3 linked regions of the Drosophila melanogaster genome follow. The protein of the gene in region 3 interacts with the protein of the main gene of each other region in a pairwise test. Each region holds a gene or a part of one and is shown on either strand. Other genes may lie near its edges. The genes, in order: RpL32, Cluap1 and CG17660.

Evidence for each region.
Region 1: the proteins of CG17660 (region 3) and RpL32 interact in a two-hybrid assay, tested with the Drosophila melanogaster proteins (one large-scale study listed by BioGRID).
Region 2: the proteins of CG17660 (region 3) and Cluap1 interact in a two-hybrid assay, tested with the Drosophila melanogaster proteins (one large-scale study listed by BioGRID).

What each region holds. Positions count from the first base shown.
Region 1 is NT_033777.3:30,043,674-30,048,805, forward strand, and holds RpL32 (ribosomal protein L32), read right to left. Parts: upstream 2,468-5,132; 5' UTR 2,249-2,467; coding exon 2,217-2,248; exon of another isoform or gene 2,189-2,216; intron 2,114-2,188; coding exon 2,014-2,113; intron 1,952-2,013; coding exon 1,640-1,951; 3' UTR 1,556-1,639; downstream 1-1,555. Other genes in the region: Sry-delta (serendipity delta), read left to right, coding at 1-1,107; CG7943 (uncharacterized protein), read left to right, coding at 3,417-3,970, 4,034-4,163, 4,231-4,545.
Region 2 is NC_004354.4:22,540,445-22,546,714, reverse strand, and holds Cluap1 (clusterin associated protein 1), read left to right. Parts: upstream 1-2,392; 5' UTR 2,393-2,491; coding exon 2,492-2,513; intron 2,514-2,579; coding exon 2,580-3,746; intron 3,747-3,803; coding exon 3,804-4,097; intron 4,098-4,155; coding exon 4,156-4,265; 3' UTR 4,266-4,329; downstream 4,330-6,270. Other genes in the region: CG17600 (uncharacterized protein), read right to left, coding at 4,897-5,370, 5,647-5,775, 5,829-5,955.
Region 3 is NT_033779.5:1,705,740-1,713,411, reverse strand, and holds CG17660 (uncharacterized protein), read left to right. Parts: upstream 1-2,990; 5' UTR 2,991-3,096; coding exon 3,097-3,204; intron 3,205-3,308; coding exon 3,309-3,369; intron 3,370-3,448; coding exon 3,449-3,534; intron 3,535-3,600; coding exon 3,601-3,795; intron 3,796-4,079; coding exon 4,080-4,238; exon of another isoform or gene 4,239-4,307; coding exon 4,308-4,591; exon of another isoform or gene 4,592-4,602; intron 4,603-4,672; exon of another isoform or gene 4,673-4,734; coding exon 4,735-4,950; exon of another isoform or gene 4,951-4,960; intron 4,961-5,009; coding exon 5,010-5,130; intron 5,131-5,197; coding exon 5,198-5,351; intron 5,352-5,413; coding exon 5,414-5,640; 3' UTR 5,641-6,280; downstream 6,281-7,672. Other genes in the region: frtz (fritz), read left to right, coding at 1-245, 304-815, 870-1,267, 1,325-1,484, 1,545-1,660; mRpL48 (mitochondrial ribosomal protein L48), read right to left, coding at 2,127-2,561, 2,715-2,813, 2,875-2,886; cpb (capping protein beta), read right to left, coding at 7,185-7,672.

The sequences.
Region 1 (5,132 bases), on a different chromosome or scaffold from region 3:
CAGGAGCTCTCCGACTACGACACGATCATGGTGAACCTGATGACCACCCAGAAGAGGCTGACGACCCAGCTAAAGGGCGCTCTAAAGTCCGAGTTCGAGGTGCCGGAGTCCGGCGAGGACATACTCGTGGAGGAGGTGGAGATACCCCAAAGCGATGTCGAGACAGACGCCGATGCCGAGGCGGACGCCCTGTTCGTGGAGCTGGTCAAGGATCAGGAGGAGTCCGACACGGAGATAAAGAGAGAGTTCGTGGACGAGGAGGAGGAGGAGGACGACGACGACGACGACGAGTTCATCTGCGAGGACGTGGATGTGGGCGACTCCGAGGCCCTGTATGGCAAGTCCTCCGATGGCGAGGACAGGCCGACGAAGAAGCGCGTCAAGCAGGAGTGCACTACCTGCGGCAAGGTGTACAACTCCTGGTATCAACTGCAGAAGCACATCAGCGAGGAGCACTCCAAGCAGCCCAACCACATCTGCCCCATCTGCGGGGTGATCCGGCGCGACGAGGAGTACTTGGAGCTGCACATGAATCTGCACGAGGGCAAGACGGAAAAGCAATGCCGCTACTGCCCCAAGAGCTTCTCGCGCCCGGTGAACACCCTGCGCCACATGCGCATGCACTGGGACAAGAAGAAGTACCAGTGCGAGAAGTGCGGCCTGAGGTTCTCCCAGGACAACCTACTCTACAACCACCGGCTGCGCCACGAGGCTGAGGAGAACCCCATCATATGCAGCATCTGCAATGTGTCGTTCAAGTCGCGCAAGACCTTCAACCATCACACGCTCATTCACAAGGAGAACCGCCCAAGACACTACTGCTCCGTCTGCCCCAAGTCCTTCACCGAGCGCTACACCCTCAAGATGCACATGAAGACCCACGAGGGCGACGTCGTTTACGGGGTTCGCGAGGAGGCGCCCGCCGACGAGCAGCAGGTGGTGGAGGAGCTGCATGTGGACGTCGACGAATCGGAGGCGGCCGTCACCGTCATCATGTCCGACAACGATGAGAACAGCGGCTTCTGTCTCATTTGCAATACCAACTTCGAGAACAAGAAGGAGCTCGAACACCACTTGCAATTTGATCACGACGTGGTCTTGAAATAAGCTACATTGCCTACAATAAGTAATTGTTTATCTTTCCCTAGTGTATTTCCTCCTCTTTGTACTTGATTATTGTAGATTCCTACAAAATATAATTTACTGGTATTTCAATTACTGCGTTTCATTTAGACAGAAGCATTTCCGATAATAATTGTACACTGTTCTGTAAAAATAATTGCGAATATATATATGATTTCATATAAACAACCTCTTTCAATACTAAGGGGGAAAAATGTAAAATATATAACAAAATTCCCTGATAAGGATTGATGCTGTCTAGTTTTGGCACGTCAAGGAATTTATATTGGTCTAATATCTCGAGGCAGTTGCTATCAGAAAGAAAGACCGCAATGGTCTGGATTAACTGATATCCATCCAGATAATGCACATGTTATCAATGGTGCTGCTATCCCAATCTCAGAAATGACAATTGAACTCGGCACTCGCACATCATTTTTTAACTAAAAGTCCGGTATATTAACGTTTACAAATGTGTATTCCGACCACGTTACAAGAACTCTCAAGAATCTTAAGCTTACTCGTTCTCTTGAGAACGCAGGCGACCGTTGGGGTTGGTGAGGCGGACCGACAGCTGCTTGGCGCGCTCGACAATCTCCTTGCGCTTCTTGGAGGAGACGCCGTGGGCGATCTCGCCGCAGTAAACGCGGTTCTGCATGAGCAGGACCTCCAGCTCGCGCACGTTGTGCACCAGGAACTTCTTGAATCCGGTGGGCAGCATGTGGCGGGTGCGCTTGTTCGATCCGTAACCGATGTTGGGCATCAGATACTGTCCCTTGAAGCGGCGACGCACTCTGTTGTCGATACCCTTGGGCTTGCGCCATTTGTGCTGCAAGGAGACATGTTGATTAAACACGGGTACAATTTGGCACAATCCTCGTTGGCACTCACCGACAGCTTAGCATATCGATCCGACTGGTGGCGGATGAAGTGCTTGGTGCGCTTCTTCACGATCTTGGGCCTGTATGCTGGGCGGATGGTCATCTTGAAGCTGGAAGGACACAACAAAAGTAGCCATTAGTGCACTGACCCACTGGAAATATCACTTATCAAGCTAATAACACACAAGGTGTCCCACTAATGCATAATTCAACCAGGTTGGGCTAGCTTCTTGGGCAGTATCCATTGAGTTTCCGGTGTGTCGCCCCACGAATTCCCATCACAAACAGAAGCCATTTGGCGAACTCTCACAGGAATCGATCCGAATTCGGTCGAAATACGAGCCGCACACTTGCGAACAGCGCACGGACTAACGCAGTTCAACTCGAAACCGCCAAAAACGACAATTACGGCTTAAAATTAATGGAAATACACGTGGGCCCAAAATCACGCACATACCTTGCCGGAAACCAGAAGCGAAAAGAAAAAGCTGGTGGTGTGAAAAAACATCGATACGTCGTGCGTCGATGATTCGCCGATAGTTTCGTTCATGGCGATGCCAAGCGATATATTGCGGATCATCGTGTAATGAATTTAAACTTGGGCGCGTCAAATAAGGTGTTGCAGGTTTAATCACTATCCGAGCAACTGCGACGATTGCAACTATGTGCAACAAAATATGGAACTATTTTCAGCTTGGTGGAGTTTGTTATATAATTAAATATGCTTTGCCTCTTGACCCACTGTGCAGTGTGAACATATTTCATTTACACACTGGATGCAACAGCTGTTCAATAGATGTTTTGCAGCACCGTCATCTGATAAAAAACGATAAGAAAGCTGGGAATGAAAAAGTAAAAAGCTGACAGAAGCGATCAAGGAGCAGGTGTTCCCGAGGTTTAGGAGGCTAATACAAAAGCATCCAAGTCGTGGATTTAGAGCACCCAATGCATACCAGCACATGATAAGTTTCTGATCCATAGGGTGGTCTTTGCGTCAGTGGAACAAGTACACAGGGTGATTCGGTCAAAATAAAGTGACAGTGCTGTTAAACGCACTGCTAAGAATATTTTAATTATACGGTGTTATATTAAGTTTGTAAATTACCGAAAAGGGCGAGTACAAAACTCAAAGCCGCCGCTGCTAATTTAAGTTCGACAATTAATTTTGGTTGGCTTGTGAACAATTTGGATAACAGAGTCCTTTGGTATGCAGCAGAGGTCCAGCGACGGTCACACTGGCCGTGGCCGTCAAACCGTGGTTCTTCTTCATTATTATATAATTAAAACCGATGCGAATCGAAACCAAAACAAACCAAACCAGCGCAATCCCCGTGTTTGAATAGTTACAATGGTAACGCGGTGACAAATGCGCACTTCTCCACACGCCCGAAATAAACACAGGACAGCAGCAAGATGAAAGACGATGGAGCACCAAACGTCGCGAAAACCACCGACCCACCGCCCCCTAAAAGGTTTCCATCCGGAAGAGCACACAGCCCACATGGAGACGGGGAGGCGGGGAAACTGCTGCATGGCAGCGTCTTCTCGAAGCGCTTCTTCGGCTCCTTTCAGTGGGAGGAGTTCGCCTGCGGCTGCGGAGCAGCCTTCGTCAACATCGCGGTCACCTATCCCATCTACAAGATGATCTTCCGTCAGATGCTGCACGGCGTGCCCATCACCTCGGCCTTTGCACAGCTGCGTCACGAGGGACTGGGCTTCCTGTACCGCGGCATGCTGCCGCCGCTCGCCCAGAAGACCATATCCCTGTCCATCATGTTCGGTGTGTTCGACGGGACGAGGAGGTACCTCGTGGAGGACTACCGCCTGAACGACTACGGGGCCAAGGTGCTAGCGGCCGTGGTGGCCGGCAGCGCCGAGTCCATCCTCCTGCCCTTCGAACGGGTGCAAACCCTCCTCGCGGACTCCAAGTTCCACCAGCACTTCTCCAACACACAAAACGCATTCAGGTGAGCTGACGGATCTTTAAGTTTGCTAATGGGATCTTCTTATGGCTTTTAATCATTCCACAGGTATGTGGTTTCCCACCACGGCTACCGGGAGCTCTACAGGGGACTCGAACCAGTATTTTGGCGCAACGGCCTGTCCAACGCGTTATTTTTCGTACTGCGAGAAGAGGCCAGCGTCCGGCTGCCTAAGAGAGTGAGTGTTGACCCTATCACACATACGAACCTACTAAGATACTAACCAATCCGTTGCCCATCCACAGAAATCCGTATCCACTCGAACAGTGCAGGAGTTCATAGCGGGCGCCGTGATCGGTGCGAGCATAAGCACAATATTCTACCCGCTCAATGTGATCAAGGTGTCGCTGCAGAGTGAGATGGGCCAGAGGTCTGAGGGCAGCTGGCAGGCGTGCAAGCGAATTTACGTAGAGCGCGATCGCCGCATTGGCAACTTCTATCGCGGATGCCCCTTCAACACAGGCCGCTCCTTCATCAGCTGGGGCATCATGAATACGGCGTACGAAAACCTAAAGAAACTAATGCAGCAGCAGCCGCCGTTGCCACTGGCCTCTGAGTAGAACTAGAGTTAACTTAGCTGATTGTACACAAACGGTTACTTCTGCCTTTAGCTAGCCAATTATTTCGTTCGATTTAAGTCTCGCCTAAGTCGCTTGTGCACAGATGCTGAATTCTAGGTGTTAATGTACATACACGCATCCCAAGCGGAGGTCGCCTGCTCCTCCTACTCATATCTGTATATCTGTATACCTGTAGATCTATTCAATTCGCCTCGCGGATGCCAAGTACAATACAACGTGAGCATTTAAAGGTACCCAATCTTCGAGTTACGGTTTAGTTAGCTACTTTTCGTGTACGTGTAAATAATACTAGATGATGTGCGATATAATACGAGTGTGTTGTTTGTGTTCGCCAATAACTTTGTGATTGATTGAAGATACTACAACTGATTAATTAACGCGGTAGATTCAATGTTCTTAAACGAAAATAAAAGTGTATTTGTAATTACGAACGAGGCTTAAGCGTACATCTTATGTAAGTTTCAGCATTTCATTTCATTATCATTAAGCACACACAACTTAAACATCTAATCTAAGGCTAGTGGTAGGGTACGAGTATCACAAGTAAGATTAATTGCGGCACAACG
Region 2 (6,270 bases), on a different chromosome or scaffold from region 3:
ACATTTAAACATGTTGGTAAATGTAAACCTCTTATTTTACTTACATACTCTGTACATACCTGTGATGTTAAGATACAATATTATGATGTACGGATTCTTCACTTAATAAATAATAATTTAAAAAAAAACCTTACATACTCTTTTCCCATCACCTTTTTGCCGTGCATTGTATTCCAGTAGTTGCTGAGGAGATCTCCAGATTTATTTATTTGAACTCCTAATTTGAGGAATTTTATTTGGGTTGATCATTGATTAATAAGTCTATCATAAGCATGATCTGAAAATATATTTACATTCATATATTTTCTGATCATGCTTATGAACGAGAAAACTTGTAAATCTAACAAATTAAGCTGTCTGCCAATTTCACAGATAAATAACACCTGTTGAGAGCTCTTAGACTTCACACTATTACAATCAATCATTGATTTTTTTAGTTTCTTATACAAATAAATGTTATTGCACACACCATAGATACATATGTATGTGTAACGAGCGGGTTTTTGTCCAGAAATAATTTAACCATAACGAGATAGTCAATAACTAAACGGTATGATATCGATGCGAATAGAAGAGAAAAAAAGTTTGAAAATGCACGCAATAAGCAAAGCACGCGAAGTTTGTGAAAGCAATTGTAATTTCATAATGTTACTCAATTTTTGAGTACAAGGCCTCCAGCTACTGATCGGGTTTAAAATACATTTGTGTGCGCTATAAAATACAAAAAACAAAAACAGTTTGAGCACAACCCCTCAATTATTTAACTATCTGATACCCTAGTATCAGAATATGCGTAGCAAGACAAGGGAGAACGCTATGAATGAGTTCTCCGACTATCAGAAGATACACGTTAGTGGTTGGTTGGTTTTGGTATGTATTTATTCCTTATGCACCAAGACTATTACTTAGTAAAATCCGTATTCCCCATATTAAGCAAAACAAGAGTGTATGATATAATCGAGTTCCCCGACTATTAGATACTCATCGTTACTCAGCTAGTGGAAATGCGAATGGGAAATTTCATAATTTTTCTCGGATATCGATAGATATTGGGAAATAATATAATATTGGCAATTTAAAAGACTAATAATAATATGAAAAAGTATTAAAACATTTAGCAAACGTGTGGGCGTGACAGTTCTAGGCAGTTTGTGGGCGTTAGACTGGGCTTGGGAACATGGGCAACTGCACTGCGTCTACGTCTTTAGAATCTGTATGCTTCTTAACTTTCTTTTACCTTCTAGCTTTTATTGAAAAATAGATAGATTTCTGAGATCTCGACGTTCATACGGATGTCCGGCCGAACATGGATATATTGTATATTAGGAATATATATACAATATATGGTCGGAAACGCTTCCTTCTACCTGTTTCATAAGAATATTACTAAAAGGATATAACAAATTTAGTGCCGCTTTTAGGCATTTTGAATGTGCGCTTGTATGATTGAAACAGGGTTCATTCGACTTTTTAAATAAATAGAGTTTTATTTGGTTTTCATATCCATTAATTGTATAAAAACTAAAAAATTAGAAAATATAAATTCTTGATGAGGATCACAAGCGGAATCTTCCATCTGTCGATCAATATTAACTATAAGCTATATATGTACATATGTATATATGTATATACACTGTAAAAGCTAATGTGACACACACACAGCTCTAGTGTGTTTCAGAACGTCGTCTTGCCCACTATAACGCCCGCAAACTTCCCAAAATATCACACCATCGATAACCCAACAGAGTGTTGAATCTGTGCAATGATAAGTAAATTACAAGAACAATAAAGGATATATAGAAAAACTGAAATTTATGTGCCCAACAGGTCAATTTCAGTTGAGATAGTGGCGCCCTCTGTCGGGTATGCTTAATTTGTAAAAATCCCAATTATCGTATTTCAATAATTCGTTCTTAGCAACTCCTACATTTTTAATGGAATGGAAACCGCGCAACCGTTTCCCAGGTGAACCCCGTGCGACCGTCCACAGCAATCGAATGAATATTAGCCAAGGATAGCAGGGGGACACTGCGAGAAATTTCATATGGCAAGTGATAGTAACCTGTATTTGTTTAAGTATTAAAATAAAAAAACTAAAACCTATTTAAGTTAAAATTAATTTTATTTCGCTTTTATTTTCAGTTTCATGTATTGCTGTTTTTGAGAAATTTAGTACATATATCTTAATTCCTATTTTATGTAATATTTTCTTATTAAAATTCCGTTTAAAATTACCAACATTGTTGTTGACAATAATCTTAGTTTAATATTAATAATATATTTTAGAAATGGATCAATGTTTAGAGTTCGTTATCATATTTTCTCGCTATGCATTTTCCGTTACCTAGCAACCATCAATTTGGGATTCGGTGGCCCAAACAAAAGCTCCAACGACCACAACAAATGACGGTGTTGAAAATGCAATTGCCAGCGCAGCCGCAGCGATTGCAAGCAGCCAAAGAAAAACAGGTGAACTCGTTGGAAGCCAGGAATGTCCTTCAAGGATGTGCGAGGTGCGTACTGACTTCCTCCTCTTACTTCCTCCACCTAACACGACCAGACTGATACTCCACTTCCAGATCTGGGGGAACATCTTAAGCTGTTGGGGTTCCCGCGCGTGTTTCCCCTCCAATCCCTGGCCAATCAGCATGGCAGCCTGGCCAGTTTCCACATTGTTGCCGAGCTCCTTCAATGGCTAGCAGGACTAATAGAGCCAGGAGCCACTTTGCCCGGCGGCGTTGAATCGGAGGAGCAGCGGGTTCTTCTCGTCCGTTCGGCGACCGAGTTTTTTGTGACCAAGGCAGCCATTCGTATTAATCCCCGAAAACTGTATGCAGCCGCTGCGGTTACGGCGGCAGAGCTACAGAAGGTTACCCGACTCTTGACATCCCCAGGACAAAACGAAGCGGACAACGACGAAGAGGACCAAAGGGACCAGTACCGGAGCCTAAATCCCGTGGATATTGGCGATAAAATAGAGGAGTTGCGTAAGGCTCGAGAACTGGCCACAGACCTAACCCAGCGTGGCACAACCATATGCGAGATGCTTTCGAAGGAACTGCTCCACAAGGAATCGCTAATGTCCCAGGCCCAACGACCCCTGGAGCTGCTCAGCGTGGAGCGGACCCTGAAGAGCGCCATCCAAGCTAACCAAGTTCGCCTCCAATCGAGTAGAGCCCAACTGGAAGCAGCCAAGGTGGAGCTCAATGCTCTGGGATCAAAGCTGCAGCGCCGTCGGGCGGAGCTCGAGCGAACCCGCCAAAGACTGGAGGCACTGCATCGCATTCGACCAGCGCACATGGCCGAATTCGAGGACTGTGAGAAGGAGTTGCAGGAGCTATTCCAGCGCTACTTTCTCAGGCTGCATGTGCGCGATGCTCTAAAGTCCCAGCTGGACCTGCGTACTAAACGTGCCACACCTATCTCCTCACCCATTCTGCAAAAGCCCGCCGAGAACTCAATGCCCTTCATCCCGGAGGGACTCATCGAGGACGACGATGACGACGACGACGAGGACGATCTGGATGACGAGGATGAGGGCGATGATGGCGGCAAAGCACTTTCCCGTCTCGAAATGGTGGTCAATGGCAGGAGTGTCTTCGGCCTGGACTCAGAGATACCCGACATACGGGACGAGGACAAACTAATGCAACAAAACAACATGGTTTCCGCCCAGGGAAAACGTCCTGGTACCGCCACCTCCAGGATTAGACCCACAACGGGTAGAAGCAGGAAGGCAGTAGGAGGTAAGGAAGTTCTAATTTCACAAACTTATTTCCCTGCTCAAATAACGAAAATCCCAGGAAGAGGCACAGCCGGCCCGGATGGTGGTAATGATGCCAGGGCAGCCCGCGGCACCAGGAGAGGTGTTGCGACTGGAGGAGACGCCGATGGCACCCAGCTAAACGGCCGCAACGGACCCGGCAGCAGTATGCTCAACTCCCGGGACGAAGACAGCAGCTTCGGGAGCTCCGAAAGCGAACTGGATGTGGGTAAAATCATGGGCATGAGCGGAATGAGCGGAATGAGTGGCATGAGCGCTATCAGCGGGATAAGTGGGATGAGCAATATTGCCTTGGGAGCCGGCGATGATGATTGTAAGTCGTGTAGTTACGCCTTGAACTTATAACAAAACTTTACCTCATTCACCCCTAGTTGATCTGAACTCGATCGATGACATAAGCATTTCAAAGTTAACTGGCGAACTGCCACTTAGACCGAAGACCGCCAATAAAGCGGAGCATCACAGCGATGAGGATTTCTAGGGATAACTACAATATTTATATTTATTTGCTAATTTTATAAACTCAGCCAGAGGGCAGACAGGTTGTAAAAAGTAAATAAAATATTCCCATCAAGCAATTAAAAGATTTCTTTCCACGTCACAATCAAATACGTCACCGTCTCGCAAATAGACGGCCTTAGGGTTCCGGTTCCTGCAGTAACACGAATTGTCTGGCGATATGGTGACTAGTATGATGAGCAATCAAAGTGTAGTCAAAGATGGATTTCTGCATGTACATAGGTAAGTGGGACTGTGCAAGTCAAAGCATAGCCAGGATCCCTAACTAAGTACATCGTTATCTGTATGACTTTAGCTAATCTATTCCTCCAAGAAGCGAGATATAAATTAAATTTGCTTTTGTAGATACGTTATAATCAGTTAATTCAATGCTCGAATAATTGAAATAGTTTGCTTAATATATCTTTATTCGATTAATTTTAATGTGTCTTAAGAGCTATACGCATATGTAAGTACATTGATAGAGTAATGGATATAAAAGGGGTAATTTATCAGACAAAGCCCCACATAGATGGGATTTCGTTGTGGCTCCGTAAAAAAAATATATACAAAAGTCTGGGAAACTGGGAACTAGAGAGCGGATGCTTTTCCCGTCACATCACCACATCCCGGCAAACGATCTTCGTTTTGAAGGATGCCCTCTGACCGCCGTACAAGTCCGAGGAGGCAGACGACGAATAGTCGACGTGACTGCCCGCCTGTGACTGTTCTTGCCTGGCCAAAAAGCTATCAGCTATGGCTCGATCTAGACCCGTATACTGGAAATTGGGAGCACCGTCCAGGACATCCGCTTCCGATTTTCGGCGCTGCCGGCGATTGGCATCAGACTTTCCCGCCCGCCGCCGTCTTCGCTGCCCATTGATCTCCGCTGACTTTGTGCTCTTGTGAGTCCGGTATGTCCCGCTTAGGCTAGCCGGGTGGGCGTAGGTCACGGATCCGGGCCCAGGTCGCATGTAGGGAAGGGTCATTCCACGGTACTGCGCCGGCAGCGGGGGCACGGGAAGCAGAAGTCCAGCTCTGGCGCCCGGAGGCGGAGGTGGCAAGCGTGTGGGCGGTGGTGGTGCCATCTGAATATAGTTATTAGAACAAAAATTGTATTTAAAATTTCAGCAAAATTTATTTGTTAAAAATTCAATATTTCAAAGTAAACTTATCTTTTCTTTCTATGTAGGAAACGAATAAGAAACTTAAATAAAAACTTCAAATTGGGTTTAAACGCACCCGAAATATTCGGTTTCAACAGCCGGAGCTTGGTTCATATTTATATTAAAAATACATATTACTAGCTCATCACAAACTAGAGTACTAACTCACTGGATTTGGTATCTTAGGATTCAGCTTACCCCATTGCCAGCGGTGGAGGGAATGAGCATGATCTGCCGCGATGGAGGCGTCAGTTTGCGGACTGTTGGCGGCAGGCTTCCCATCTGGGTGGCATACATCCACATAGCCGCTAGCTTCTCGGTGTTCACCTGCACGAAATGAAGCTGGATTAGGATAGGTCCCACACTTAATCTAACAGCACCTTGACAACCTTTTCACTGCCATTCAGAGACATCGCCTTGATGTACTGGTCCACCTTCTGTTGGTCCAGAGCGATTCCCGAAGCATTCGACTTGATAATCACGTCGCGAAGCTCACTATGTTCCGACCTGCAATGAAGTAAATAAATTAGGTGATCCTTAGTTATAAGAGTTAATTGAGGTACATATTTAGCAATAAAACCATAGATTAGAGTTCGTAATTCAAAATGTGAGAAATCATGCTAAAATTGCACAAACTGATTTCTTTTATCTAAGGATTTCTAAGTTATAAGGATCGTTCTACCGAAACGATAAATATCCTTTGCGTCTAAATCAAACTCCCATTTATAGATTTTTTTTATTATATTAAAATGGGTATAAAAATGCAAACAACATTTACCATTTTTACAATATTACTGTATTTTTGTAAATGGCATAGCCATT
Region 3 (7,672 bases):
CAGCCGGACAGAGCGGTCAATGTCCTGGCCGCCCTCAACTGGGAGACCTACGGAGCCATGTGCCTGATTACGCTGCACAAGATAGCCAACTATGTGTTCTTCGGCGGTGACCAGCGACGACCTCGCATCGAGCTGATGGCCAGAGCGTTGAAGACATTCGCCCACACGCTTTCCGAGGAGACGAAGGACGAGTTCAGCGATCAGGTGTACGATCTGAAGCGCCGCTTCTGCTTCTATCTGCTGCGGTGAGTTGAGCTCGTGTGAACATGCCACTTTTATGCTCAATCCTTTCGTTGCTTGCAGCAAAAACCTCTTCGCTGAGGCCTTCGAAATCGCCCAGGATGTGGCCGACTATGACATCTTCATGGACCTGTACAACCTAACCAAGTGCATCTCAAGCCTGAGTGAGTTCGCCCAGGTGGCCTTCAGTCAGGCAGCTGCCATAATCCACGAGGAAGATCGCGCCAACGGCAATCTCAGCCTGACCTGTGACCTGCGCTCGGAGTCGGCCTGTTCGCTGTCCACCTGCTCGGACATGTTGCGCGGTCAGGGAGCAGGAACTGCCCCCGAAACCGGACTAGGCGCAAGTCAGCCACAAAGCCAGCAGGTCCTGAAGAACTATGTGCCACCGCTGCCCTCGTTCAAGTCGAAGGTATTCAACGCTGAGATGATCAAGATCAACATACCGAAACCGGAACTGAGGCCGCCCTTGCCGAAGGTTTCAATAGCGCCGCCAACATCTTCGCTGGCGAGTCTAACCCTGAAGTCCAACAGTAGTCTGCAGCAGGCGCCCGCAAAGAGTCTGCATCCAAATGGTTCGTGTGAAGAAAATTCCCTTCATAACTTAAATAATTTATCCATTATTTCAGGCAATTTGTGGTCCCAGGACGTGCCGGATCAGACGGTGGGTCTGCCTATGGCTAGTAGTCCACTTCCTCGTCTTCCGCCTTCAAACATTCCAGATCAGAGCGCCCAGCTGGGTCAGTTCAGCACGATGCCAGCTTCGCCTCCGCCGACAGGGTCCTATCAGCCCAAGTTTTATCAACATCCGCTTGTCTCTGGCAATATTCCCGCCATGCTGCCATCGCTCACCAGCGAGGACTACCAGAAGCGCCTGCTGCAAAAGAAACCCACCGCATCCATATTGTCCAACCCGGCGAATCCAGCACCCACCAACGGAGAAGCACCCGCCACGCCCGCAAAGTCACAAACGGCCGAAAAGAACAAAGTCAAGTTCTCGGATACAATTCAAGTGGCGGTGGTGCCAGTGAGTTAACAAATCAATCGATGATGTGACAGTTTACTAATGCTCTTACTCGAACAGGAAATTCCTCGCAAGGAAAAGCCAATGCCACCCAAGAGAAATGGTTACTCCAGGCCCGCTGCGCGACATCTGACAAATCCTAAAAAGGAGCTCGCAGACAGCCTGCCGCTCTGTCATCCGAACGACGAGTATCTAAAGGATTTCAACCCCATTACGACCAGTGGGTATTTGTTGAGTTCACCAATAACCTTGCCCCATTGACCGTGTCATTTCTTCGCAGATGTGACTAAGCCGCCCATCCGACGACGCGAGGAAGAACCCAAGAGCAGCAGCAAGGGCGGCAACTCCTCCTCCTCCTCGTCGTCCATCAAGGTGGTCCACTTCGGCGTGGTCTAATAATTCATAGTGCAATTCCCAGGCGTACACCACACAACGGTTAAGCGCTGCGTCTTCCAATCGTTTGTAACTATTGTAGTAGGCTGCTCCTTCTACCCTCTTCCTTTACTCTTAGTCATACATACCTAATTATACATAGCCAATCTAGTCATAAGCTTATACACTCATACACCCATCCTTAACATACAAATATTATCGAGAAACTTATCGACTAATCGACTCGCCACTCTGCAGAGAGCGCGGCAGTCAGTCGCTGTTGAACCAAGCTAAAGGACAGATCAAAAATAAAAGAGACACGTGAAATTGTATTAGAATATTAACTTCTGTAAACGGCGGCTAAACTATTGCCGTCCCAGTTAGTGCAAAGCTTTAAATAGGAAAGTTTTACTCATAGGTTCTCTATACTCTTTACACAGGTTACTCATTAAAGCTAAGCATTAAATGTTTGCCAAATCGGAGGCGCCGCCTACTTCTTCCTGGTGGTGGTGGGTCCGCCCATGCGCTCCAGCTCGTCCTTCAGGTCGAGCAGCTCCTTGTCGGGCACGTAGCGCCGCTCCTCGCAGTCGTCGGTGTACTCCTGCACCTGCAAGCTCACACCCTCGGGCAGCGCCGCCTGGGCCAGGCGCAAGAACTGCGGATAGACTGGCGCATCCACATTGTTCAGCTGCAGGTTGCGCTCGTAGGTGGTCAGCTTGTACTCCGATTCGATGACCGTGGAGTTGGGCCGCAGTCGCTGCACCGTGGTCTTTTGCGGAGGGAGGGCGTAGCAGTCGGAGACGTCCAAGTCCAGGTACTCGGCCAATCCGTGCAGAAACCTCTGGTAGCTCTCCAGCTGCGGGTAGTCGTAGCCCTTGATCTGCACATTCAGGCTCTCGTACTGCGGGAATTTCGGCTTGAGGGACTGCAAACGGAGAACAATGGTTACTGACCACCAAAATAATTGCTCATCTAGTCTGATCTGATTGAAATCTGTCTACAAGATTATGCTACTATGCTCAAAGCAAGTAATATTTAAAAAGGGGTTAAGATCCTTCCTTCTCAGTTGAGGACCCACCTCCAGGTAATCCGGTTCGTAAACACTTCCACTGGTGCTCCTCACGGCTGTTGTGGTTGCTTTGGGCACCTGCAGCGCCAGCCGCACACTTGGCAGTATCTAGCACAGTGGGAAAATGAAATTGTAATAGATAATTTAATAGATATTTTCAGCTATTTACCCTGCGTAGCATTTTGCTGTTTTTAATTCTCCAATTCAGGTTATATCACCAGCTGATGGCGTGCAGCCACACTGTTGCCGGCTCCATGGTCACACTGGCTCAAGCGTCAGATAGGCTCGGCAAGTGTTATCGAAGAACGATAGGCCCGATAAGTTCGGACGAGTAGAAGAGGAAATAATATTTGTATTTACTTAAGCCCATTGTACGCACACACAACTCGAAATGCAGGGATCGGCCACGCTGTTGGTGGTTGCGTTGGCCTTGCTACTTGGCCCGGCGAGCACGGCCGGGAAATCGGATCCGGGCATGGTGGACGTGCTGGTGACCACGGTAAATATGTGCACCACCACCACAGCCCCAAACAAATAGGGGAATTAGAATTAATCCTTTTCCGGCTACGTAACAACTGGTTTGTCCTCTTCTCTCCCACACAGGACTTGCCCAGCATCCGGGAGCAGCGTCCGCTGCTGGCCAACACAAAAATCTACGCGCAGAGTAAGTACAGGCGGCGGAAAACGCGTGACGAATGCCTCCGACTTACCCCTTTCTTCCACACCTGTTTCAATGGTTCCAGTTAAGGGCTGCACTTCCAATGTGGAATCGAACCTGACCATTACGTTCCGGCTGACGGAGCACCCCTGCATCTTTGATGACCGCACGGTGAGTACAACGTTTCCATATGGCTCAGTGACCATTTAATCCCATCAATCTTGTATCCCCAAACAGCTGCAGGCCATCGCCCAGAATGCTACCCTGCAGAAGAACGCCACCATCAATAACGTCATCACCGAGATCACCAGGACATATCCCTGCAACGGACTCATCGTCCTGGCGATAAACAAGGACAAGGTGGTCGAAGGATCAGCGATCCCAACACCGGAGCCAAAGCATCCAATGCTGGAGCACAAGCACCCACTTTCGGTAAATGCGACATATATCAACGATAAGTAGAAGCACAGCAATTACCACGGGCCAGCAAAGCATTTTCGGCTTTTTCCTTATCAGCTTATCGTTTCTCTTTAAACAGGGTATTCCCTAGATAGGTGGGGCATACTGTTTATAGAGCCAGCTTGAAACATTTACAGGCATTTGTGCCATTTTATTGAATGGAATGGTCTACTCGGTATCAGGTTTTCTTATATATGTATAATGAAGCAGGAACACTGAGATAACGCAGTAATTGAACCACTTCCGTTTCCTTATAGCCCACAACGAACCCAATTGCGAGCGTCAAGGAGGATGGCATTTACGAAATCGAAGTTAACATCGCGGCGGGCCCATCCGCGCAGTTCAGTGCCGTGGTGCACATAGAGTTCCTGGGCCCACACGGCTTCATCTCGGCCATAGATTGGCCATTCCTGCCGGTAGGGGTCGAGTGTGTTTCTAAATGACTTTGTTTATACATAATCATGTATATGTTTATTTTCCCACAGTTCTATCTGATCATGTGCATTGTTTACGTGATATTTGGAATTATTTGGCTGTTTGTTTCTTTCGCGCAATGGCGGGATCTTTTGAGAATTCAATTCTGGATCGGTGGCGTCATACTGCTGGGAATGCTAGAGAAGGCCTTCTTCTACGCCGAATACCAAACGCTGACGAACAAGGGTGTTGCAGTTCAGCACGCCGAACTGGTGGCCGAGTTTGTGTCCTGTGCGAAGCGCACGCTGGCCAGGATGCTGGTCATCATCATGAGTCTCGGCTTTGGCATTGTCAAGTGAGTGAGCGCTTTTGATTAGAAACAGAAGGGCCATTAAACTGCCGCCTGCAGCTGTTTATAGTTATAGTTATAGCTTACTCTAAAGCAGTTGCTGCTATTGACCGAACCACTTAAGCGTTAATTTACTCAATCTATTCCAGACCCCGTTTGGGACCCATGCTGCATCGCGTGGTGGGCGTGGGAACCCTCTACTTTGTGCTGGCCTGCGTGGAGAGCTACTTGCGTATCACCAATGTGAAGACCGATCGCAGCGAGCTGCTGGTGGCGAGCATTCCACTGGCGGTGCTGGACACAGGAATATGCTGGTGGATATTCACCTCGCTCGTGCAGACAACTCGCACTCTCCGACTGAGGAGGTGACTAATGCCAATGATGAAATCTCAACACATGCGCTAACAATGTGTACCTTTTCCAGGAATATGGTCAAGCTCTCACTGTACAGGCACTTCACCAACACGCTGATCTTCGCTGTTATCGCTTCCGTCATATTCATGCTGTTTGCTTTGCGTTTGCGTAGGGTCGAGAATTGCACGCCTGTAAGTTGTTGATTAGCATGAATGGAGCTGCGAACAGGGGTTTGCTGATTTCGTGTTTTTTTTTTAGGGCTGGCGCGACATTTGGGTGGATACTGGCTTTTGGCACATTTTGTTTTCGGTTCTGCTGCTGGTGATTATGATTCTATGGCGACCGACGAATAACAACCAGCGCTATGCCTTCACTCCGCTGCTGGATAACCCGGAAGACGAAGACGATGAGGGTAAGTTAGAACCCGAACTTCTGCTGCAAACAAGGACTAATTGACTCCTTAACTTTTGGCAGACGAGGAGGATCAGTTCGTCGCGGATGCCTACGGCGTGAAAATGCGCGGCCAGAATGGAACGCCGAAAACGTCGACGACTTCACGAAATGCCACGACCACCGAGGAAGACGACCTGCGCTGGGTGGAGGAGAACATACCGTCTTCGATGGCGGACTCGGCGTTGCCCATCCTGGACTCCGATGAGGAAATCATCAACACCAAGTTCGAGGTGTCGAAAATGCAATAAGCTGTGACTTTCGCTGGACCGAAGAGACTTTTTACGCATATTTTTGCACATTTTCACGCAACCGTGTCTCCCGCCAGCAGCTATGTATTTTTTAGTTCTATCCGCCATTGAGGAGGAAAACCCCTTATTGCTGCGCTGCGCTGACACTGATCTTCCAATTTCGAGAACCGTCTGTCCGGCCACGCCTTCTGAGCCCGTGTAAAATAATGTATGTAATCGTAGTTCCTTCTACGCGCACGTCCTCCCCCCCTCTAAATAAACCTAACTTATTCATAATACCTAGCCTAAGTTGTAGATACCTATGCGACGATCCGAGAACTTAATTTAAAAACTTCGACTTGAATTCTTGTGCTGCTGCCCCTAACTACACTCGCAAAGGTGTATGAGTGAGCTGTTGGTGGTCGCCTCATTGTATGTATATAGCTGGTAACACAAGACGAAACGATCTATATAAATCTACGAGTATATTCTGTAATAACTATGATAAAACGCGACTATGCAAAGATTAAAAGTAATTGTCTAAGTAAGCACACAATCGTTTGCGTCACACACCTCAAGGTATTTAATTACATATTTTTAATCAAACGGTCTCCGATTTTCATAAATAAATGCAAACGTATCTTAAAGGTAGCCATGAACCAAACTCGCCATGTTTTTCTTTAGTCCTTATCTAACTAGCTTATGATATGATATGTCGTGACTAAAAGTAGAATATGGTATACATCGATGGAGTGATGTGTAGTAGTTTATTTTATATATCTTATCTTTTGCGATAATATGATGTTTTCCCCCAATGAAACCACTTCTAGTTGTAATTCAATATTTATTAGTTTCTTTGTATAAAATTTCTCTTGCCTTCCAAATTTCAGTTAAAAAATATTAAGTAAAGAAGAAAGGTAATGTGCATTTCCTCAGATAATACAATCACAAAGCGATTTCAGTTAATATTTTGCTTCGAGCGCCTTACTGTTAGATTACACACAAACACAAAGTTACAATTAATAAACACAATATTTATTCGCGGAAGGATTAAGAACGAAACGCAAGTGCCTCGACTTCGGTGCAAATATGCATTATTACAAATAAGATACAAATACTTATGGATACTGTCTTGAGGGCGGCGAAGTTGGCATTTTCGGCTGAACTCTGGATGAAGCGCGACTCCAAACGGCAACAATGTGGGAGGACAGTTGAAACGGGCGGGCAAAATTTACATTAATGTGCTTCTCGTGGTGTAACAATTTTCTCATGTAACAAATTTACTGCCTAGAAATGCGTATTTAATATTTTTTAGTCAGCTCTTTAGTCCAGTCCAAGCGGAGTCCTCCACGGAGCTGCTCAACACAATTGGGCGAGTAACAGCGAATTGGGTGGGTGCAGCCGAAATATTATGAAAATTATTTATATTTATGACAATATTTAGTGGTGACAACAGTGCCTTGCAATTCGAATATTGCTGCGCTCTTCTTGGGAGCAGCCAGCTTGTGGGACGCCCCTGGACTGGATTGGTTTATGTGGAAATTCAGCCTTCAGCCGCTCAGTACTCAGTTCGATTCGGGCTTGACATTGCGTCGCAGGATTGCCGCTGCGAGGTCCTGCTTCATGGCCGCCTGCTGGCGCTGATCGGCCAGTGATTGTGTGCTCCTTAGTCCGTTCACGATGTCCTTGGTCTTGCCAAAGTAGATCTCGTTCAGGGTGTTCCTGATCTTGTTCTCCATCTCCTCGACCATCTTGCCAATGTTGGCGATGTGCGGCGACGACTCGCTGACGTTGGCGTCCTGCTCCTGCTGCCGGGTGAGGGATCCGCCCAGATTCATGGTTCCCGAACCCTGTTTGTTGGTCTGCAGCCAGAGCATTGCCGTGGAGGTGAGCTTGTAGTGGGCCGTCCTGCCGGTGGTCTTCTCCTGTACCTCGACCACATGGATGGAGTCCCAGCAGCCGCGGATCATCTTGCTGCCATCTCCCGCCTTTTTGATCAGTATAACGGCGGCAAACCCGTGATCCAGATCCCATAGGTAGACGGAGGAGACGC